2 linked regions of the Arabidopsis thaliana genome follow. The protein of the gene in region 1 purifies or fractionates together with the protein of each later gene. This does not show direct contact. Each region holds a gene or a part of one and is shown on either strand. Other genes may lie near its edges.

Region 1 (12,664 bases):
TTTCTTATCAAGAGGCTTGGGAAATGGTAAATTTCCAACCTCTTGCACTTGTTTAATGCCTAGTTTTCCAGAATCGTTGTTTACACCTAACATTCATGTTCATATGCCTGCGCAGTCTTACTTTGGGGCAAACGTTTTACATCCTCGGACCATTATTCCAGTGATGAAATATGACATTCCAATTGTAATAAGGAATATTTTCAACCTCTCTGCCCCTGGAACAATGATATGCCGGCAGATTGATGATGAAGATGGATTCAAATTAGACGCTCCTGTGAAAGGATTTGCGACGATTGACAATTTGGCTCTTGTCAATGTAGAAGGGTGAGCTGATAGTGGATATTGTATTACACACTCGGCTGCTTATTGTATTTCTTATACAAACTTTGCATATTCTTTATAGAACTGGAATGGCTGGTGTTCCTGGTACTGCCAGTGCCATTTTTTCTGCTGTCAAGGAAGTTGGAGCCAATGTGATTATGATATCGCAGGTTATTTAGTTCAGCTTTATAATTTCTTTCATCAGTTATGTATTCCCTTGTCAAATGTAACTTCTTAATATAATTACATAAAATGCAGGCTAGTAGCGAGCATTCTGTGTGCTTTGCTGTACCTGAGAAGGAAGTGAAAGCTGTTTCTGAAGCATTGAACTCAAGATTTCGTCAAGCTTTGGCTGGTGGCCGCCTTTCCCAGGTGCCTTTATATCTCTCTTTGTTCTTCGAAAGATATCAAATAGCTATTCTCTTAGCAAATCAACTGGACTATTATTTTGGCATCTACTATTTTTCTCAAACTATGGTTTCATTGTTTTCATTCAGATTGAAATCATCCCTAATTGTAGCATATTAGCAGCAGTTGGCCAGAAAATGGCGAGCACTCCTGGTGTTTCTGCCACTTTTTTTAATGCATTAGCAAAGGTAAGTTAAGTGTAGTGTTTGCAAAGAAAATCAGATGACGGTTCATCATACATTTCATATCCTTTTTTCTGCTTAGAAGCTCTGCTGATACATTGCCATTTGCCATACCTAAATAACTGCAGGCCAATATCAACATCCGTGCTATAGCCCAAGGTTGCTCCGAGTTCAATATTACAGTAGTCGTCAAGCGTGAAGACTGCATCAGGGCATTAAGAGCTGTGCACTCAAGATTTTACCTTTCGAGAACCACTTTGGCAGTGGGAATCATAGGACCGGGATTAATTGGTGGAACCTTACTTGATCAGATTAGAGATCAGGTGAGTATGTGATACTTATATGCGAGATTATAGTAAAATATGGATCAATGTTCAAGCTGCATCATCTTTAAATTTCCTTTCACAGGCGGCAGTGCTCAAAGAAGAATTTAAAATTGACTTGCGTGTTATAGGGATCACGGGCTCAAGTAAAATGTTGATGAGTGAATCGTAAGCCAACGAACCTGATACATTACCTTTTTGGTGAAGTTTCTACTGCTGTAATCTTTACACAATCGTCATCTTTTTAGGGGGATTGACTTATCAAGATGGAGAGAGCTTATGAAAGAAGAGGGAGAAAAAGCTGACATGGAGAAGTTCACCCAATATGTGAAGGGAAATCATTTCATCCCAAACTCTGTTATGGTTGATTGTACAGCCGATGCTGACATCGCTAGCTGTTACTACGACTGGTTGCTACGAGGAATTCATGTGGTCACTCCGAACAAAAAGGCTAACTCTGGACCACTTGATCAGGTAAAGTGTTTGATATTTGTTTAAATGACTGTTGGATCGGGAGCTACATATATGTTCATCTTGATATATATCCATTAAGATTCTGTGATTTTATGAACAGAGAGACTAATTGGTAACACTCCTGTAAATGCAGTATCTAAAGATCAGAGATCTTCAACGAAAATCGTACACACATTACTTTTATGAAGCCACCGTTGGAGCTGGTCTTCCAATTATTAGCACCTTACGTGGTCTCCTCGAAACAGGGGATAAAATACTGCGAATTGAGGGAATTTTCAGGTATCTCCTCTTCGTCTTGGTACCACAGTAATTTTTTCAGATAACACAACAATGGCCTTGCTTTGCACCTTCACACTAAAATTTGCTTTGATGCCTCTCTGCAGTGGTACTTTAAGTTACCTCTTCAACAACTTTGTCGGCACCAGAAGCTTCAGTGAAGTTGTAGCAGAAGCAAAGCAAGCAGGTTTCACAGAACCAGATCCACGAGATGATCTATCTGGAACAGATGTTGCCAGAAAAGTAAGGTTTTTTTCCTGTCAACAAATCGAGCCAATGCACCTTGTAAAAAAATATTGAACCTTCTCGTATCTGCTACTTCTGCAGGTAACAATCCTTGCCAGAGAATCAGGCTTAAAATTGGATCTTGAGGGCCTTCCAGTCCAGAATCTTGTGCCAAAGCCGTTACAAGTAAGACTCTGTATAATCACACAATTAAATTCATCAACAATAAGGTTAATCCTTTTGACATTTCTTATTCACAGGCTTGTGCATCAGCAGAAGAGTTCATGGAGAAGCTTCCTCAGTTTGATGAAGAATTATCCAAACAAAGAGAAGAGGCTGAAGCAGCAGGAGAAGTAAGTAATACCTCCTTGGCAAAACTTTTTTAACACCAAATGCGCCGTCTTGAAAAGAACTCATTTCAGATTTTGTTGCGTTGTGTCTTTGTTTAGGTCTTGAGATACGTAGGAGTTGTAGATGCAGTAGAGAAAAAGGGAACAGTCGAGTTGAAACGGTACAAAAAAGATCATCCGTTTGCTCAGCTATCGGGTGCTGATAACATCATCGCTTTCACAACCAAACGGTACAAAGAACAGCCTCTGATTGTTCGTGGACCTGGTGCTGGTGCTCAAGTCACAGCCGGTGGAATCTTCAGTGACATTCTTCGCCTTGCTTTCTATCTCGGGGCTCCGTCTTAAAGCACACTCTACATGCTAGCATATGTATTTTGGATTTCAGAGATTTTGATTTCTATAGATGATACCAAACTTCAAGGTAATAAAACATTCTAGGAAAAAATTGAATAAAGACTGTTGGTATTATACAACACAAGCATTAAAATGCTGTCTCCTGACTCGAATTTCATCTCCTTCCATATGATTCTGACCCAACCGAAACAAAATTTAGTATCAGAAACATGTCTCAATCTATACTTCGGGCAAAAAAACTTCTTCTACATAACCTATGTTGAAACACTTTGTTTTGAAAATGTGACTAATCTAACATCCAATGAATAACTTCATTTGTTGAGAATCTAATAGTACTCGTCAGGGTTTTGTTTGTTTTGAATGAGAGGGACACCGTCTTCTCTCCATTTAATCCGCTCTTCGCAAATCGCACCCACCACCTCGACATACAGTTTGTGTTCCTGAGTCCAAGATGGAAAAAAGAAAAGAAGAAAATGAAATCTTCTGAACAGTGAAATGTAATGTTCAAAGATATTCTTTAGTAGTACCTCATGAAGAACCCTTTTGGCCAATTCTTCTGGTGTATCATTAGCAATCACACGGACTGCACTTTGAGCAAGTATCCGACCTGTATCGTACTCCTCATTGACGAAGTGAATTGTCGGACCCGAATATCTACGGAAAGAAAAACCGTTGAATGTTTTCTTGCACAAGAAAAGGGAAAAAAGAAACTACACTACACATCCATAACATTATATGAGCTTGAAACTTTACCTAGCTCCCGATTCTAGAACAGCTTTATGCACTTTTATACCATAAAGACCTTTGCCTCCGAAAGCCGGAAGAAGAGCAGGATGAATATTTAGAATCCGTTTAGGAAAAGCTTGGACCAGCTCGACCGGTATAAGTTTCAAATATCCAGCTAAAAGAACAAAGTCTACACCATATTTCCTGTTCATCAAGTTGAGAGACATATAGTGAACTTTCAACAAAGAGGTAAACACATTCACTTCCAAGGGTAAAGATACAAATAAAGACTTCCAAGAGATATGCTAACCTTAGTACATCTACAAGTTCTGAAGGAGAGAGTCCATCAGATGGTTCTCGTTTCGCTTTTGGGAATACTAAAACAGGAATTCCATTACTTCTTGCATACTCAGCACCTCCACAATCTAAATTGATGAAATTAAGCAAGTAAGCTATTCAAATTCCACTAACTAATCAATCATATATTAGCAGTTCTTTTCTGATTCATTAACTCTAAGAACCACAACATAGAAACTATAATTGCAACTTAGAAGACCAAAATCAAATAACTTGAAGAAGAAGAAGAAGAAAGGTGATACCTTTTTTGTTAGTGACCAACAAAACAACATCACCATTAACAGAACCATCACTGCATCCCTCATGAATCTTCCTGAAATTTGAACCACCTCCCGACACAAACACAGCAAGCTTCTTCCTTCTTGGTTCGTGAGACGAACCATCGACCTCCGCTACTATCTGTGGAGTAGACGAAGCAGCTTTTACAAGCGGTACAATCCTCATCGCACATCTCTCTGCGGGACTACGGAAAGAGAAGGAGAGAACATTCCGGGAAGGTGTGAGCGGAGCAATCGAGGTTTCACGGGTCTTAAACGGTGAATTCACCGGGAAGTTGAATTGACTAGAGAACAAAACCCGTGATTCCATTCCGACGGTCTAATCAGAGGGTTTTGTCGGAATAAGTGTCAGTTTGGTCGAAGAGGGAGACAAGAATGAAGTCTCAGACGAAAATCCGGAATGAAGTTGCTTGCCGGAGAAGGAGAAAGATGTGGCGGTGGCTGCTGTTTCACCGGAGCAATTTCCGGAATGAAGATAAATCAAAAGAAACAATGGGAATCAAAACCCTAAAATTGAAATTGGGGATTTAATCAAAGAACTCAGGAGGGAGGTGTTGGGATTTTAGTCCTGCAACAAAAGAAAAAGGAATCAGGGAGAAGAAGATGAAGAAAAGAGAAGAAGAAGTCGCAAAGAGAGTCAACGACAGAGTAAGAAGGAAAGTCAACAAGAAGGAAAGAAGTTGGGTTTGAAGGGTTTTGGTAATAAGAGGCTTAATGGGCTGATGGTTTAATTAGGGCCAAGTGAATAATTGTTGTTTATATTAAGAATCTACATATACATTTTTGGAACGATTTGTGTAGAAAAATTCTTTTTCAATTTTGATATTGTATGTTTAGTCCCTATAAAATCAATCAAACAAGATATTTTATTTAGGACAATGACCAAACTTTTGTTTAACTATTATGATATTGCACTAACTACTTGCCTAAACATAGATATTGTTAATTATTACCCTAATAAATTGCACAAATCAATCCCTATAAACTCTACGTAATTCGCAAATCATTAATTCCTAATTACTAAATTTGATACTAAATCCTAACTAACCATATCTATAATTACTTAGATTCGGAAATCATTATAGTTTTAAATGCTAATGAAATCTTACCAAAATTTATTCTTTTGTTATCAATTACAACAATAATTCCGGTTTGATTAGTAAATCCAAAAATGTATAATACAAAACGATTAACGCTAAACAATTGCCATTAAAACTTTCCACTATTATCAATAATATACATTCATTTCGAAATATATGAGAATATCAACAATTTGATTTTTTATCAACTACTCATATCTACATTTCTATTTATTTAAAATAAGCATATACTTGATTTTAAGGAATATTAGTGCCTCACAATATCATAATCTTACCACATCAAATTATTTCCCAAATCTTTGCCAATATTCTCGGAAAAATCTTTCTAAAATATCTCGACATAACTAATTGCTATACACTACAAAATATTTATACATAAGATTTTATAGAAAATTTTAATTATTATGACAAATCGCATTTATAGCATATACCTAAAATATTCTAATTACGTATATTTGATTCCATTTTAGTTAAGATCGCAAATTAATTTTGCTTGCTCACCAAAATATTGACCTAATCATTCCAAGCCTATATATACTACATATGTTTATCTCCCATCACATTATCAAACACACACATCATGGGCATTCTTTTTATTTTTTTTTTATTTTTTTGTACGTATTACCCTTCTTTATGAATGTGATGTCAATGTATTGATGTTGATTTCTGTATTAAAGAACACAATACTTGAGAATTGTGTATTTCTTTTTTCTTTTTGGTAACGACCTGTGTATTATTGTTCCAAACTATTTAGATATTCATATATGAACGTTTGTGTGTATATATACGTGTGTTTAATTTTGTTGTATTTGCGGTTCTGTTTTTTTTTATTTTGTAAAGAAGTTTATGTAAGTAAAAAATTAAATATACATGTCAAGGTGAAGCAAAAAGATGGGGAGCCGTACGTACCCCACCGGAAGCTGAAGCTAAAGCTCTACTAATGTCAATGCATCAAGTGTGGTCTGACTGCTATACATCAATTTATCAAAAATAGAGACTCTGAAGCGCTCATCAACATCATCAAGGTTCTTACGGTGGACTTCATTACCGAAGCCTTACGCAAAAATATTCACTTTTGGGCAACCAAGTTTAGAAATATCTTTTTCTCTTTTACTAAAATATCGTGTAATCAGTTAGCTCATTTGTTGGCAGAAAAAGGTTAGATAGATTCTATGTTTTTCTCGGATTGTTTGAGTCCTTTGATTTAGATTTATGATATGTTGTATTATGATCGGACCTAATAATCTTTATTCAATAAAGTTTTTTCGTTGAAAAAAATAAAATAATAGTTAAACAAACGTGAATGGTTTAGAACTTTGACTATAAAATAGAACCTAAAATTACTATATTTACTTTGATCTAAAAATAATAATCATATATTAAATTTTATTTTTAAAATCTAAAGTACAAAAACTAAATATTTGCCATGGGGGTTAAAACCTCTTGATTTTGATGGATCAGGTCAAAAACATATTCATATAAATATTCAGCCATAATAAAGCTAAATAATACTATACTTTAAATATAAGAGTTACATCGAATTAAAAATCATACACAATAAATTGGTTAATTTTATATACAACAAAATCATAAGTTTATAAATAACAAAAATTTTTAAGAAACAGCCCGTCGTATATTGCGGATCAATCTCAGCTAGAATAATGCACTAATTATTTAGATTTTAAATTTTAAATACAAGATATTATACAGATTTTTAATAATATTTAGTATATATGGAACAAAAAAAAAACAAATAATTCTTTATTTCACGTACATACCATTTCCTATATACTTTTAATATTTTCATACTAAAATCCTAAAACCAAAAAAAATCAATTTTTAAAATCTGCTACATCGTTACTTAATGAACTGTATGTTTCGTATCTAAATTTTAAATATTGAAACCTAAACAATACTAATCATACACTAAATAATACATAGATATATATCTATATTTAAATAAGACAAATTAATATGTTATATCTTCAGCTAATCTTCAAAAAAAAAACCAAATTAATATGTTATATCTTCAGCTAATCTTCAAAAAAAAAAAAAAAAAAAATATGGTGTTCAATTTGACGGGACATATTATATGGTAGCACGGGTTGGTCGATATTAATACAAGATGTATAACATGGGTGAAATCCTAAAATAAACAATCAAAATATAATTATACAGGAATATAATTAAAAAAAAAAAAAAAAAAATTATACAATTATACGGAAAATTGTTATACGGTAGGACGGGTTTTGGTCTATATTAATATAGACGGTATACAGTGGGTGAAATTCTAGAACTAACAATCAAAATACAATTTAAGAAAAACAAACAAACAATATTAATAAAACAATTACAACTTAAATTTTGTCATAAAAAAATTAACTCGCAGTGTACCGCGGGTCATATCCATATCTACATATACATTTTAGGTAGTTATAATACTTTTACTTTTAACAAAAAAAAGTATTATATAACAAACACATAATTACGTACCATAAAATACACACTCTATATAAATGATGTGTATAATAAAAAGATTTTTCTAAACTAAACAACATCAAACCAAACAAATACTAATATAACATCAAAAGTAAATAGATATAAAATGTAAAATGATGAATTCAAAATATAACTTGATATTAAATATGGATAATATTAAATAAAAATAATAATTTAATTTCTAACGCAAATAATCAACCCGCGGTGTACCGAGGGTCAATATCTAGTGTTATTATATATAGGGGTGTGTAAAAAAAAACCCTCTCAAACTCTTCTATTTTTGTAATTTTACCTTCTACGTCTAAAAAATACAAAATAAATATATGAAATCCAAAATAATATGCAATAATATATAACCCATTTTTCTTAACTTTACATATACTATAAACGTTTTCATAATCACATAATGTACATATATTATTTATCAAAATTTTAAAAATTAACAATTAGAAAAGCTATATTGTATATTATTTTAGATTTCATATGATAATTTTACATTTTTTTGACGTGAAGGGTAAAGTTACAAAAAAGAACAACTTTTAGTTTTTTTTGCACAAAACCCTTAATTTTACAAGCAATTATATAATTAGAATTTCACTTTTAAAAAGGGCTAACTTAATAAGTAAATTATGTTAAGCATATTAATTTTTTTGTAGTGGTACCTTCTTTTTGAACCAATGGTGGAAGTTCGATACCATTTTTGTTATCTAATTAATATGTAATTCAATCTAAAAGCAAATAACTAAGACATACCATGATTAGATAATTTTTAGAAACAGTTGATATAATAATTTACTCATAGAAAAAATATTGAAAATTAGAAGAAAAAAAAAACAGATTGATAGAATTTAGAGATTTGCAAATCAAAAACAAATAACTAAGACAAATATAAACGACATACACCCTAGTTACATTGTTTGTAAATAAGAAAATGGCAATTGTGAGCAACAAACAAGTAACCGGCCCAACAACAACAAAAGGCCCATCTCAGCCCAGTCAAATAGAAGAAGACAAAATAGACTCCAGCTCAAAACAGAGCAACGATCGTACAGAGGAGGGGCGTTTTGCCTGATGACTCACCATAGCCAGCTACACAGCATCTGCCATATTCTAGACTGTTCCATATCTACCTCCTTCTACAATGTCTATAAAAGAGTAGTGTAAAACCCTAATGTAATTATTGAGAAAGAAACGATTTTTTTACCAAAAGCTTGAAACTTTCTCTAATCGTTTCATGGTATCAGAGCCTTTGTAGCCTTAACAGGTATTTCAAATGGCGACCTCATACCCTTTTCCAGATAATGTTCATGTTACAAGTTCTGTTACTCTCAAACTCACAGACAGTAACTACCTCTTGTGGAAAACTCAATTCGAGTCTCTCCTATCGAGTCAAAAACTCATAGGTTTTGTTAATGGCGCCGTCAATGCACCATCTCAGTCTCGCCTTGTCGTCAATGGCGAAGTCACCTCCGAGGAACCCAATCCTCTGTATGAATCTTGGTTCTGTACCGATCAGTTAGTTCGGTCATGGCTCTTTGGCACGTTGTCTGAAGAAGTCCTTGGTCATGTTCACAATCTAAGCACCTCTCGTCAAATTTGGGTGTCTCTAGCTGAAAACTTCAACAAAAGCAGTGTTGCTCGTGAGTTCTCACTTCGTCAGAATCTCCAGCTTCTCTCCAAAAAGGAAAAGCCTTTCTCTGTCTACTGCCGAGAGTTCAAGACCATCTGCGACGCTCTCAGCTCCATTGGCAAGCCAGTCGATGAATCAATGAAAATTTTTGGTTTTCTTAACGGTCTTGGTCGTGACTATGACCCCATCACCACGGTGATTCAAAGCTCTCTCAGCAAGCTTCCGACTCCAACTTTCAATGATGTTGTCTCAGAAGTTCAAGGCTTTGACAGTAAGCTACAATCATATGAAGAAGCGGCATCTGTTACTCCTCACCTTGCCTTCAACATTGAAAGATCTGAGTCTGGATCTCCTCAATACAACCCCAATCAAAAAGGAAGAGGACGTTCTGGTCAAAATAAAGGCAGAGGAGGCTACTCAACTCGTGGACGAGGGTTTTCCCAACATCAATCCTCCCCACAAGTTTCAGGTCCAAGACCGGTGTGTCAGATATGTGGTCGCACTGGTCACACTGCTCTCAAGTGTTACAATCGGTTTGATAACAATTACCAGGCTGAAATACAAGCTTTTTCTACTCTCCGGGTCTCAGATGATACAGGCAAGGAATGGCATCCCGACTCAGCTGCGACGGCTCACGTAACATCATCGACCAATGGACTTCAGTCTGCAACAGAGTACGAAGGGGATGATGCTGTCTTGGTTGGCGATGGCACTTATCTCCCGATTACTCACACTGGATCTACCACTATCAAATCCTCAAATGGTAAGATTCCTTTAAATGAAGTCTTGGTTGTTCCAAATATACAAAAATCTCTTCTCTCTGTGTCAAAGTTGTGTGATGACTATCCTTGCGGTGTTTACTTTGATGCTAATAAGGTTTGCATAATCGATTTACAAACACAGAAAGTGGTAACCACGGGTCCTCGTAGAAATGGGCTCTATGTGTTGGAGAATCAAGAGTTTGTGGCTCTTTATTCAAACCGTCAGTGTGCAGCAACAGAGGAAGTATGGCATCACCGACTTGGACACGCAAATTCTAAGGCTCTCCAGCACCTTCAAAACAGCAAGGCGATTCAGATAAATAAGAGCAGAACATCTCCAGTTTGTGAACCTTGCCAGATGGGGAAAAGTTCAAGACTACCATTTTTAATTTCAGATTCTCGTGTTTTACATCCTCTAGATCGGATTCATTGTGATTTATGGGGTCCTTCTCCAGTTGTATCCAACCAAGGCCTCAAATATTATGCTATTTTTGTTGATGATTATTCAAGATACTCTTGGTTCTATCCTTTGCACAACAAGTCAGAATTTCTCTCAGTTTTTATTTCGTTTCAGAAGTTGGTAGAGAACCAGCTAAACACTAAGATCAAAGTATTTCAGAGTGATGGAGGAGGAGAGTTTGTGAGCAACAAGTTAAAAACACATCTCAGTGAGCATGGCATCCATCATCGAATCTCATGCCCCTATACCCCACAGCAAAACGGATTGGCCGAACGAAAACATAGACATCTTGTGGAGCTTGGATTGTCTATGCTCTTTCATAGTCATACACCTCAGAAGTTTTGGGTAGAATCCTTCTTCACTGCCAATTACATCATTAATCGCTTACCATCCTCTGTCTTGAAGAATTTGAGTCCATATGAAGCGTTATTTGGGGAAAAGCCAGACTATTCATCTCTCCGTGTGTTTGGTTCAGCATGTTATCCTTGTCTCAGACCTCTCGCTCAAAACAAATTCGATCCGCGCTCCTTGCAATGTGTGTTCCTTGGATATAACAGCCAATATAAGGGATATCGCTGTTTTTACCCTCCAACAGGCAAGGTCTATATCTCAAGAAATGTTATCTTCAATGAGTCTGAACTACCATTCAAGGAAAAGTATCAATCTCTAGTCCCTCAGTACTCAACACCTCTTCTTCAAGCTTGGCAACATAACAAGATCAGTGAGATTTCAGTACCTGCAGCTCCAGTCCAATTGTTTTCTAAACCGATTGATCTTAATACATATGCAGGATCTCAAGTTACAGAACAACTGACAGATCCTGAACCTACCTCTAATAATGAAGGAAGTGATGAAGAAGTGAATCCAGTAGCAGAAGAGATTGCTGCAAATCAAGAACAAGTAATCAATTCTCATGCAATGACCACAAGATCAAAGGCAGGAATTCAAAAGCCAAACACGAGGTATGCTCTCATCACCTCTCGAATGAATACTGCTGAACCAAAAACCCTTGCATCCGCTATGAAGCATCCTGGTTGGAATGAAGCAGTACATGAGGAGATTAACCGGGTCCATATGTTGCATACATGGTCGTTGGTTCCTCCAACTGATGATATGAATATTCTAAGCTCCAAGTGGGTTTTTAAAACCAAACTTCACCCGGATGGCTCAATCGATAAACTGAAAGCTCGTCTAGTGGCTAAGGGCTTCGATCAAGAGGAAGGGGTGGACTATCTAGAAACGTTCAGTCCTGTGGTTCGGACAGCAACAATTCGTCTTGTTCTTGATGTCTCAACATCAAAAGGTTGGCCTATTAAGCAGCTTGATGTCTCCAATGCCTTCTTACACGGTGAGCTGCAAGAACCGGTCTTCATGTACCAACCCTCAGGTTTTATTGATCCTCAGAAACCCACTCATGTCTGTCGTCTCACGAAAGCCATCTACGGTTTGAAACAAGCGCCACGGGCATGGTTTGATACTTTCAGCAACTTTCTTCTTGATTATGGATTTGTCTGCAGTAAATCGGACCCCTCATTATTTGTGTGTCATCAAGATGGAAAAATACTCTATTTACTGTTATATGTTGACGACATTTTGTTGACTGGCAGTGATCAATCTCTCTTAGAAGATCTTCTACAAGCTCTCAAGAATCGGTTTTCTATGAAGGATCTTGGTCCACCTCGCTATTTCTTGGGTATTCAAATTGAAGATTATGCTAATGGTCTCTTTCTACATCAGACGGCTTATGCGACAGACATTTTACAACAGGCAGGAATGAGTGATTGCAACCCCATGCCAACTCCTCTACCACAACAATTGGACAACCTCAATTCTGAGCTATTTGCAGAACCAACCTATTTTCGAAGCCTTGCGGGAAAACTGCAGTATCTTACCATCACACGTCCAGACATTCAGTTTGCTGTCAATTTTATTTGTCAGAG
Region 2 (12,664 bases), on another chromosome or scaffold:
TTTTTATTATGAAGCTAAATATAGATAAAGCTAGAAATAAGATGTAGCGAAGGAGCGAGTCTTTAGCATGTCCTACGAGTGCGGGTTAACCATAATAACCACAAATCTCTTCTACAAATATTCCAAATTTTCAACAAACACAAAAGCAGTTGAAGAAGTTAACTTTTGAGAGAGATAGATAAGTTTACTTTAATAGAAAGATACATACATATACATAGGCAAAGAAGGGAAATGGCAGGACCGGCACAAGCAGCAAAGCAGTCAAGTGAAGTGCTAGGCCAGCGGAAGTCGTTAGGGATATGTCCGTTGAGAGCGGCAGCGGTTGGAGCGGTGATAATCGGTGGAATTGGCTATGTGGTGTTGTACAGCAAGAAGAAGCCTGAAGCTTCAGCAGGTGATGTCGCTAAAGTTATGTCAGGCGTCGGTGGTACTCCTGAGAACACTCGTCCTCGTAATTGAGCGTCTCTCTTTAATTTGTTTACTTTCAAATCATGGGATTGTTATCTTTGTGGTTGATATATATAGTTGAATTCTCTAAACATTTTAAACATTTGAATCTTTAGGTGAATTAAGTTTACTCTAGACTTCGAAGAAAACCTTCAAATTCAGTTATTTGATGTTACAAATCTTGACGGGCTTTTCATACGAAAAGATATAATTTGATGTTAGTCATAATAGGAGAAATTTGTAAAAAGTGATCTGTTTTATGAGATCTCGGTAAAAGCAGTAACAATATTTTTAACAAAGATAAACGAAAGAGCTAATATTTGGTTCGTTTATTTATTCCATTTATACATTAACTTGAGAGCTCCGGTTGGATTATTACGTGCCCATACTCCATCATCTTGCACTTGCCAGAAACATATGTTAGGCTTCATACTCCCACATACATCATGTATAAAACTCTCTTTCCCAACAAATGCGTCAAAACTTACATGATGCTTAAAATCAGGTCCCTGAAAGATATATTAACAAAGATGATCACAACTTTTTTCCAAATAAAAACATAATTATAGAACGATTAAAGATCATATAAACATTAGAGGTTTCAATAGTTATTGTAGATGCTCCAAACCAATCCATTTGTAGAGTAGAAGATTTTTGACCAACAAAATTTTTTCCCGTCCATAAAAGTAAAACAATTTATTCACCAATGTATGGACAAGATAACAAATTTACTGTAAATATATACATTCAGATTTAAGAACGTGAAAGATTTCTCTTTTATTTTTTTTAAATTACCTTCCATAAGGTGCACCATATCAATGTCTTAAACCCAATTCTTAAAGGAGCTTTGAACACATCACTGAATGCAAGAAAAACAACTCGGGTCGATTCCTGACCAGATCTACACTGGACCATAAGTTTATTGTTACCCCCAAGTTGATTTGAAATTTCAATGTTAAAACGTCTAAATGTAAGAATAGAGTCTGTTCTTTGGATTAAAAAGGCGAACAAGGCAAAATATATTATAAATTTTTCTATCATTGTTTTTTTTCTTTCAACATGTATTTGTCTTTAACATGAATTCCACACATATATATATAATATAATATGTCACATTTGTTGATGTATTTAATTTCATTACTTTTGTTCTCTCTTATATGGTTAGTTATATCCTATCATTTATTTTTTTTATATATTTTTCTTTAAAATATGTAAACTAATGGAAACAAACAAACAAATCTTGCATAAATTTACTTGCAAAATTAAATTTCATTAACACATTTAGATTATTTTTTTAATTTATGTTGTAATCCTTTATTTGTCAATTATTTTTGTTTTTTTATATTTTCTTTGTTATGAAACCAGCATATCTAATGTACAAATCAGTATATTTTTTTTGAATTATTTGTTCACATAGTCAACTTTATTCATGAATTGAAATATAGAGATATTCAGAAAGACAATTTGCTATCCACTCTAGAAAAATGCATTATCCTTGAATATTAAATTGAAAGAAAATAATCGAATTAAACAAAAAATGATGAACCAAGTTAAAAACCATCTCATTTGGCACAACATTGAGTCTAACACTCACCATTATTAAGCACATTTCATATGGTTTAAGTAATTATCACATGTTCAAAAGACAAAAATATCAAATTAAATTATAGAAATGTAACTGAAGTTATAACTTATGATCGTAATATATCATAATGTTATACATAAAATTATGCCTTAATACGTTCATCACTATCATTGTTTCAATAATGCAAAGGCAATAAAAACTTATCTTTTGAATAAAATAGTAGACAACAAAAATATTGTTTAGTGAAAAGGTTTTTTGGATAGTTAGTAAGTTTTAATTTTAAAAAAAAATAAACTAAATGTTTACAGTAGATTTAGAATTATAGTTATTATGAATTATTCGGACTATCAATAAAATCTTGACATGTCCCTTCTATTTTTACATTTGTTTCAATCATCATTTCACATGCCCACTTTTTACACCCACTCACAGTCTCACACATTTTTTTCTCTTACACACATTCTCACATCTAATCCTCTAATTAATAGTGTGACCGGGCTAATAAGCTAATTACTTTCCAAAACCTATTATTTATCTCCAGAAAACCCAACAAAAAAAATTCACCCCCAAATCGCCGCATACTTCTTATAACTATGTTATAGTACTTAAAACATTTGTAAATTATATTGGAGATTTCAAACATCTGTAATTCAAAAATTTCTATGATTCAAAAATTAACAGAGAGGTAAAATAACAAACCCAAAGATATAAAGTCCATTAAAAATTATACTTTGATTTCAAATTAATTAAATAATAAAATTTGAAAGAGCTCATAGCTCAGTGGTAGACTATTTGACTGCAAATTTAGAGGTCACCGGTGTGAACCTGGTTGGGCTCTTCTTTTCTTTTTTTCGTTTTCTAAAATATGTTACGAACTCCAAATAGTTGGTTAATGATATGCATATTAACCCGTGAATGATTTAATATGAAAATGATAATTGGTTAATGATATGCCTATAAAAATTAATATGGTCACGGGATTTGATATTCCTTCCTTCCCTACTAACCCAAATAGTCCTACAATAAAATTATCCATAAGTTGAAAAAAATAAAATAATAATGATGTTCCTAATGTAATAGCTTAGTTATTGCATAGTGCGATTCCAAAACTAATAAATGAAAATCAACCAAATTATTGGTTCATCCCCACGGGCCACGGGTCATATTATCTATATGTCATTATGTATTCATACATACATACATACATATTTCTTGTTTTATGATATGTTTTTGTACATATTATAGTTTGTATATATGATATGTTTTTGTACATATTATAGTTTGTATATATGTGTGTTTCTATAAGTACAATATAAAAAATCACTTATAGTCTATCCCCGAAGATATTCAGTTGAAATATTTGCTATATTGCTGGCATTTTTTATAAGAATTTTATCTAGAACGCAAGAGAACAAAAAAAGAAAAAAATTAGAAAAAAAATGAGTTATAAAGGATGAGGATAAGGTAATAGTATTATGCACAGCGCGGAGTATCACATGCAAGTAGTGAGATTAAGAGACAACAAAGAGACTGTTTGATCAATCCTTGTCTGAGAGTTACTCTCTCTTTAGTATTTATAAACCTATCTTGAACCAAAAACAATCAAATCAAACTCAAAATTTAGTTTTAAACTCTCTGTTTCTTTCTTATTTTTTCTTCATTTTTAGTTGCTGTGAAGATGGGGAATTGTTCGCAAAGAGCAGTATCTGATGGTGGTGGTTCGGTTACCGTAATTGCGACAAATTCAAGAAACATCCTGGAAGAGTATTACAGAAGCCGGAGATGTAGCTCGTTGCCAATAACAAGGGAGAAAACACTAGGGTATCTTGTTAGACAAGGTACAACAAGCCCTAGAGGAGTACTTGGGCCAAGGATACAAGTGTCGCCGCAAAGAAGAAATGGAGTTTGGAAAGCGAAAGTGGTGATCGGAAGTAAGCAGCTTGAAGAGATTTTGGCAGTTGAAGGCAATACACACGCTTTGATTGATCAGCTCCGGTTTGCTGCAGCAGAAGCTTTAGTTTCTTCAACCTCCGCCTCTGAGATGGTCAGAGTTAAAAGTTTATTGTCCAAGTCCCGAAAAAGACAATGAGAACTACTTCTGTTAGGTTCGATGATTGCGTTTTTTTTATGTGGCTTATTTGTAATCCTAGCAAAAAGTGTATATAGCACAAACATTTGATAAATGAAAAAAATATCTTGTTATATAAAGAGTGTATCTAACTCGGTTTTCGAAGTTTATGTTTTGTGAAATATAGAAACCAACTGAGGAAAAAATTAATACATTTGGTTCTGTTTGACACAGTCTGTGTTTCAGTCTGATCTGGTTTTTGAGAAAATATTTAAAAAATATTAGGTTTTAGCAGGATTACTTTTTTGGGGTTTGTTTAGTTTCGGTTACGGTTTGTTCAAATGCAAAAGATTGAAATTTGAAACCGGATCAGATGGTTTTGTACTTTGGTCCAGAGTTTTTGGAATCGGTTAAAGCGAAATGGATACAACTCAGTACGAGACACATAACGACCAATTCGAGAGAAGAAAATAAAAAAGACAGTTACATGAGAGACCTGAACATTCGAACAACTAACTACTTAAGAAGACACTTACACATGTTTAGAGATAAAGTATCACATGTTCTTCATTCAGACACGCGATTCCATTTTCTTGACAGCATTTTCGATGGCTGGCATGTTTTTCTTGAAGGTTGACCATTGTTCATCTGTTAAGCTTATTCCTGGAGATAACATTATAACATATCAGAGACCAGACATGAATCAAAAATATTCTCAATATGGTCCATTTTGAGTAAAATGGTTGTCCCTTTTTTTTTTATCTATAGAGAAGAAAAGATGAACTATATTCAAACCCAAATAACTATTCTCAAAGTAGATAAAACAGAAACTATTTAATGACTTTTACACAAAATATCAGGACTTGCACAAATTCAAAGATGTAATACAGAACAAGCTTAAGTGCTAGGTTAAACTAAACTACCATAAACTGAAAGAATCATTCAAGTCAACAACTTTTCGGCCAAAATGGTTTGTAATCACCAAAGCTTTTTACTTAATATACAAAACTGAAACTTAACACACCCAAAACAATAACAACTCTGAATCATCATTGACTCCAAATTTCGAATTGTGAACGAAAATCACTTTGATGCAACTCTAAAGTGGAACTTGAAAGAAACATTTGCACATAAACACAGAATTTGGCTCTACAATTTCTGAAAAATTGTGATAGAACAAAGAGAGCTTTAAAGTACCTTTAGAAGTAGGAAGTTCTTTGCCATCTTTCTTGTAATACTCTCTGATAGAAACCAAACTCTTCCCTTTAAATTCCTGAATCGTCACTCTTCTCTTATCCGATAACTAACAACAACAACAACAACAACATTCCAAATTCAGAACACACAACATTCACTAATTCACAATCTCTGCTTCAGAGATAACACTATTAGCTTCTCTACGAGACCACATACAAATCAAAATCAATCCTATTTCAAGCAAAATCAGTAATCGAATTCGAGAAAAAGCAATGAAATCAAACCCTGCAAATGATAAGATCGCCGTCATCATCAAACTCTTTGTTTCCTTTACCACAATCCTTATCTCCATCTTCTTCTTCCTTATTCACTTGTGAGTTTTCATATTCTCTCGCTCTCTCTTCGTCGAGGAATTTCTCCACGACGCTTCGTACAAATGCTTTGTGAGATTTCTCCGAGAGATCGATTGCGAGTTTCTCCGAAGCGAGTTTACGAACCTTGAACTCTGTTATCTCTTTCATATCCGATTCACTGAGTATCTCTATCACAGTTTTCTCGATCTTCTCCTTCGTCTCTTTCTCCATTTTTAGGGTTTTTCTCCGCCGGATTTTGACCAAATCGGATTATCGGTGTTATAAACCCGATAAGTATAGATGAAATTATCGCAATCGTATAAGCGTGGTGGTAATCCATCGCTCATTTCTATTTATAAAAATGGATAATGCTTATGTTTATCTATTATATTTTCTTTAAAATTGAATAAATATGGATGTAATTATCGCAATCGTATAAGCGTGGTGGTAATCCATCGCTCATTTTTATCTATAAAATATGGATAATGTTTATTTTTATCTATTATTTTCTCCTTAAAATTCGATAAGTATGGATGTGATTATCGCAATCGTATAAACGTGGTGGTAATTCATCGCTCATTTCTATCTATAAAATATGGATAATGCTTATTTTTATCTATTATATTTTCTGTAAAACTGGATAAGTATAGATGTAATTATCGCAATCGTATAAGCGTGGTGGTAATCCATCGCTCATTTCTATCTATAAAATATGGATAATGTTTATCTTTATCTATTATTTTTTCCTTAAAACTAGATAAATATGGATGTGATTATCGCAATCGTATAAACGTGGTGGTAATTCATCGCTCATTTCTATCTATTGAATATGGATAATGCTTATCTTTATCTATTATTTTTTCCTTATAACTAGATAAGTATGGATGTGATTATCGCAATCGTATAAGCGTGGTGGTAATCCATCGCTCATTTCTATCTATTAAATATGGATAATGCTTATCTTTATCTATTATTTTTTCCTTAAAACTAGATAAGTATGGATGTGATTATCGCAATCGTATAAGCGTGGTGGTAATCCATCGCTCATTTCTATCTATAAAATATGGATAATGCTTATTTTTATCTATTACTTTTTCCTTAAAACTCGATAAGTATGGATGTGATTATCGCAATCGTATACGCGTGCTGGTAATCCATCGCTCATTTCTATCTATAAAATATGGATAATGCTTATTTTTATCTATTATTTTTTCTGTAAAACTGGATAAGTATAGATGTAATTATCGCAATCGTATAAGCGTGGTGGTAATCCATCGCTCATTTCTATCTATAAAATATGGATAATGCTTATTTTTATCTATTACTCTTTCCTTAAGTCTCTTACTTTCTTGTTAATTCTATTATTTTTGGGTTGGCTGATTTTATACCCATAAACTAATTGCATTCTCAGCTTTTTCCCCACACTTTTTGGCTCTTAATTTTTCACCATAAACTTTGATAATTCTTTAAATTACAACATGTACTTTCGGATTCATCCTTAAACATACATTTCCAATTGAACCGGTCTTTAAACCGGAATTAACCACAAATCCGCGTTTACTGTACCACGATTGCGATTTACCCGATTAATCACCATATCCGTTAAGAAAAAGGTTGGCTGATTTTATAGCCATAAACTAATTGCATTCTCTGCTTTTCACCCATACTTTTTGCTCCTGAAATTTCCACCATAAACTTCGATAATTCTTAAAATTGCAACATGTACTTTCAGATTCATCCTTAAAAATATGTTTCCAATTGATTTAGATTGTTAAACCGAGATTAACCATAAATCCGCGTTTAGTGTACCGCTATTGTGATTTACCCGACTAATCCCACACCCGTTAAGAAAACGACATCGTTTTCTCTTTGTTTTATAATGTGAATCTATCTATATATGTTATGTGTTGTGTTAATTGGTAAGGAAAATGACAAATCGAACTAGATAAAACTCCTAATCATAAGGATAGATAAGACTCCAAATCAATTAGTCAACCTAAATAATATCATCTTAAAGAGAATCAACTTCCGAAAATACATCATCCAAAATAGACAAAAGAGGTTGAAGATTGTTCCAATGACAATCTAAATCAATTGGAAACATATTTTTAAGGATGAATCTGAAAGTATATGTTGCAATTTTAAGAATTATCGAAGTTTATGGTGGAAATTTCAGGAGCAAAAAGTGTGAGGGGGAAAGCAGAGAATGCAATTAGTTTATGGCTATAAAATCAGCCAACCCTTTTCTTAACGGATAGAGGTGATTAATCGGGTAAATCGCATCGTGGTACAGTAAACGCGGATTTGTGGTTAATCCTGGTTTAATGACCGGTTCAATTGGAAATGTATGTTTAAGGATGAATCCGAAAGTACATGTTGTAATTTAAAGAATTATCAAAGTTTATGGTAGAAATTTAAGAGCCAAAAAGTGTGGGGGAAAAAGCTGAGAATGCAATTAGTTTATGGGTATAAAATCAGCTAACCCATTATTTTTTTTTAAGTAAACTCTATTATATTTTCATTTTTCTTCTTAAGTTTAATATTTTATAACAATTTGCGATATTTTTCTTAGGCTGATGTCAGTCAAGTTTTCGATACTAATTACGGTGTCGTTTCGTGAATCTATTAGTTCACTCTCTGAAAAGTTTGCTTATGTTAACAAAGATCTAAACCGGAGTGAGTGAGCAAACTTTTTCGTTTGATGGCATTACGTTAATACGGTACAGACGTAAGCGATTTTCGTCACAATGATCGACGATGTTAGAAAAGTGATTGATATATGGACTTTTTTTTTTAACACCTTAATTGATATATGGATTTTTTTTTTCACTTCTTACTGTTACATATACACATTATAAAATAGTTTTAGAGATGGGTTCAGAGACCATTTTCTTGGTTATTCTTTTTAGACAACCTCCATTAGTGAATTGTTGGGTGTCTTTCAAAAAAAAAAAAAATTATGACTTAAAACACGCATCTTCAGTTACATGTCTTCCTATAAATATTTTTTATGTTTTCTTCAAGACACCGAGTATGATTGATTGGTTGGGGTGTAGGAAATTTATAAAGACACTAAAAAACTACAATCATGTTGTACTTTTCTTATTTTTTCTCACAGCCTAAAAAATATAATTTTTAACTATTTTGGCTATAAGTACAAGTTTTTCTATAAGTACATTATTTTTAAAATATATATTAAATTGATATTTGTGAATAATATAATATAACATAAATACAATTTACTAATAATAATTCTTTTTTAAAAATACATACGACCAAAACCTTATTTCTACAACCAAATCATCCATTTCATTCTCTTTCTGAATTCATATTGCTTTCTTCTTCTGGATTTTGGTACTTCTCTTTCAACCCTCAGATTCACTTTCTTTTTTTCTTCCACAATTGCGGAACAACCGCATTCTTATTAACGATTTATCCATCGTATCATCAGTTCACATACGGAATACATTCATGTATCATGGAGAAACTAGCTTCCTTATCTCAAGACTCGTCATGGGGTAATAATAATCTGAAGCTCTTTAAGTCTCACTAAAAGACCTTCAAAGGTTTAATTAAAGTTTTTGTTTGATCTTTGTTCATACTCAGTATTAGTCCAAGTGCTTTGCAGTTACAGCACATTACCACTCACTATATAGTGAGCGAGGCTCATCGGATAGAGATGCAACCTACGACTCCTTTATCTTACAATGTCCCAGTCATGGAAAGTGAAAACTCTTAATTAAGTTGCAATTTGGGTCGTCATTCAATAAGATCCTCTATGCCACATTAAGAGCTCTCATCAGAGGATTGTGTGCATCTATGACATTGACGCCAGCGTTTCCTTTCTACTTACTAGATTAAAACCATTGATTCAATTCCAAAAACCAAATAGAAATTAGGAAAAAGTAATAATTAGACCAACCATTCAACAGCAACTGAGAAAAAAAAAAAAATAGAACATTCAGTACATGTAGTTAAAACTAAATAATAACCACTAAAAATCTAATAAGCCAATTTCTCCAATATGCAGTTTCTTTCTTCTTCTTTATTTGTTGTCCCCATGAAAATAAAAGAAGAGAAGGAAACCAAAACTAAAAGATATTATCATCATTCATCAATGAACAACAACTTGTTGATCATCGATGAGCATCACTGAGCTGTGATGATGAACCATGTGCCACCTTCCATTGTGGAACTCGAACACATTGGTTATTAGGAATGGACCACCATCCACGTTCAGGTATGCCTTCATGGTGACCCAAGCCATGTCTGTTAGTATCCGAGTGCGAACCGTGTGGACCTGAAAGTCAAACCCTTGTTCCCAATTGAAACAAAGTTGCCAGCTTTGTATCACTTCATTGTACCTGCAATTCAAGAAGGGAAAACATAGATGATTCATACCGATTTCTTTTAATGAAATCCACAAAGATGTATTTAGCCTATTTGAAGATGGCCAAATCTAGAACAAAGATGCATAAGAATAAAACTGTGTGGAGTAGACTCAAACAATGGAAGGTGCTGAAAGAATCCAAATTCTATCAGAGCTGCTGTGGATATACTACTGTTAACTCTGTTATCTTATTGCTATAACTTTTTTGCTTAAACGTTTTTACTAAATCATACAATACTCTTAACATCTTGTATCACGAGGAACTGCACAAGAGCATTGTTCCGCTAGTATACTCAAACTCAGATACCATCTCATAGCTAAGACCATAGAAACATACCCAAAACCGTTAAAGAACATGCTAGGTACACATTAGAATGACAAAAGGGGGTGAAATGTGGAGTTGTTACCCGGAGAAGAGTTCGCCAGAGGCATGGATACACTTGACATAGTCCGAGTTCAACCACAACCGAGCCATCGCTTGAAGCGCTCTGTCTCTAATGATGGTGAAGAATTCCGTATTCACACTAATAATCGCTCTAGTAGTTGCATAGTACTCTTTCCACCCATTGACTGGTGTTATACCATCTTGCTCCAGAGTAAAATCCTAACACATGAGAAAAAAGTAAGAGAAGCATTAAACAAAATAGCACCATTCACGAAAACACACACTAATCCAGAAACTGCTAAGAATACACATCTTTTAACCTAGAATCATTTCTGAATTTCCAATACACAAAGCTAATACAAATGAGTGATTAGTGAATCTAATTACCTTGTGATAAAGAGCTTTCCAAGCATTATCATCATTAGCAGCTTTCCTCATCAAGGAATTAGTCATGGATAAGCGACAGAGACTGGGATAATCCAAGTAACTAAGCGCGTGTGTCGTAATTTCCGGAACCAACTGCTCCATCATCGAAACTCCAGGCTTATCATCCGCCACCGTGGAAGTTGTAACCGTCGTTCTCTCTCCGCCACCCATAGGAGGCGTACCACCGTTAGCCAGCGGCGTCGACGGCATAGGTTTGTTGTCCAGTTTTCTCGTCCGAGGAACAGATCGAGAGAGGAAGAAAACGATTGCGATTGGTACTGCGATTATGAAGAACAATAAGGACTGATTACGCGGCGAGAAGGAGAAGAAGTTAGAAGAGACATAAAAAAAACTTTGTAAACATGAATCAGAAGAACAGAAAAAACCTACAGAAGAAGGAGCTTGAAAGGTGACGTACTTAGGGTTTAATGGTGGTTTCCTTCTTCTGCAGAAACCCTACAAATTGAATCGGGAAATAAATTTGGCGAGACGCAGAAGAGAGAGAGATTCAGAAGCTCTTTTGTCTCCAACTCCGTAACTGACCATCGCAAATGTTTATCAAAATGTGTCACTGTAGGAAATAGCCTCAAGTTTCAAGGGTATTATAGTCATTGCACATGTATGTTTATCCAAGTGCGTCAGAGTCACTATAGAAAACAGATCCGTCGTCGTTTAACAATTTTCAAAAATATAAAGAAATGCGTCAGGTTAGGCCCAATAGGCATTTTAAGAATTTCATTGCTTTGAGCCTTTGACCCAAACAAACTATCATCATCTTCTTTTACATTTAGCTTTTAAGTTTACTAGTTCAGTTTAATAATCACAGTGACGAAAAAGTATGTAACTAATAATAAATATATCATTTTCATCTCTAAATATTTTTTCAAAAACCTGTCAGCGACCAAGTAAATCTCAGTTTCAGACACAGTTTAGGTCTATCTGGTTCGGGGTACAACAAGAATTGCTTCTCTCGCCCTAAGAGAAGAAGACTCAGTTTCCAAAACCCGTGGAGAAGACAAAAGAGAGATACTAGTTAAAATCTATTTACGTTTTTGTACTGAACTACTTGTTACTTCATCTTCTTATTTACGCCATCTGATTTTCTCACTTGCACTTATCCTTGTGGTGAGCTCCAGAGGAAGCGGTTTCGACGTATTGCTCGGCAAGTTTCTTGATCTTGTCTCCTTCTTTGATCAAGAAGTTAGCACTCTTGGCTTTGCTATGATACTTCATCACTTTTTCTGTGGTTTTAGTCACTGCCCATCTGTATTGTTCCACGTTTATCACTCCGCTCTTGCACAGTGGTCTAATATGTTCTTTGATGTATGCTTCCACCTGACGAAAACAATAAAACCATTGAAGAGTGAAGACAAAGGGAATGAGAATTTTGACATGACAGAGACTTTTACAGTTTTTAGTACCTTCTTGGTGATGGAGTTACCAAAGCCATCAGCTTTGCCTTTTTCCTCTTTAGACGGCTTTTCGCTTGGTTTGCACTTTTGAATGCTTCTGGGAAGTTTTTTCTCTTGAATGCAAGTGATTTCAAAGTTTGAAGCGATGAACTCTCTCTGTGTGTTGCTCTCGCACTCTGAATCAGGGGCTTTAGCTTTAACACCATTCTCAGCAAATCCTTCGATGAGAGGTCTTTCAACTAGTTTCTCTGTACCAGGTCCGTATAGTTCTTCACATTCAGCTACAGAAAGGATCTCACCTCCCCCTTCTCCTTCTCCTTCTCCTTCTCCTTCTCCTTCTCCTTCTCCCTCAGCCTCAGGTACAAGCTCCATAGGAACAAAGCTCTTTCCATCTTCTTTTC

The links.
Region 2: the proteins of AT1G31220 (region 1) and KELP fractionate together in Arabidopsis thaliana (co-fractionation; one large-scale study listed by BioGRID). This does not show direct contact.

What each region holds. Positions count from the first base shown.
Region 1 is NC_003070.9:11,148,984-11,161,647, reverse strand, and holds AT1G31220 (Formyl transferase), read right to left. Parts: upstream 4,951-12,664; 5' UTR 4,585-4,950; coding exon 4,239-4,584; intron 4,065-4,238; coding exon 3,950-4,064; intron 3,844-3,949; coding exon 3,667-3,843; intron 3,568-3,666; coding exon 3,441-3,567; intron 3,354-3,440; coding exon 3,240-3,353; 3' UTR 2,965-3,239; downstream 1-2,964. Other genes in the region: AK-HSDH I (aspartate kinase-homoserine dehydrogenase i), read left to right, coding at 1-26, 116-324, 404-491, 580-693, 819-917, 1,040-1,234, 1,320-1,402, 1,483-1,708 and 5 more.
Region 2 is NC_003075.7:6,693,223-6,705,886, forward strand, and holds KELP (transcriptional coactivator p15 (PC4) family protein (KELP)), read right to left. Parts: upstream 5,978-12,664; 5' UTR 5,882-5,977; coding exon 5,582-5,881; intron 5,404-5,581; coding exon 5,298-5,403; intron 4,764-5,297; coding exon 4,672-4,763; 3' UTR 4,637-4,671; exon of another isoform or gene 4,452-4,636; intron 4,234-4,451; exon of another isoform or gene 4,122-4,233; coding exon of another isoform or gene 3,711-4,121; 3' UTR 3,490-3,710; downstream 1-3,489. Other genes in the region: AT4G10895 (Plant self-incompatibility protein S1 family), read right to left, coding at 777-956, 1,243-1,488; AT4G10910 (uncharacterized protein), read left to right, coding at 3,711-4,121; AT4G10925 (Nuclear transport factor 2 (NTF2) family protein), read right to left, coding at 9,765-10,014, 10,448-10,644, 10,813-11,061; AT4G10930 (RING/U-box protein), read right to left, coding at 11,956-12,186, 12,273-12,664. UniProt on the Arabidopsis thaliana protein: General coactivator that functions cooperatively with TAFs and mediates functional interactions between upstream activators and the general transcriptional machinery. Binds single-stranded DNA.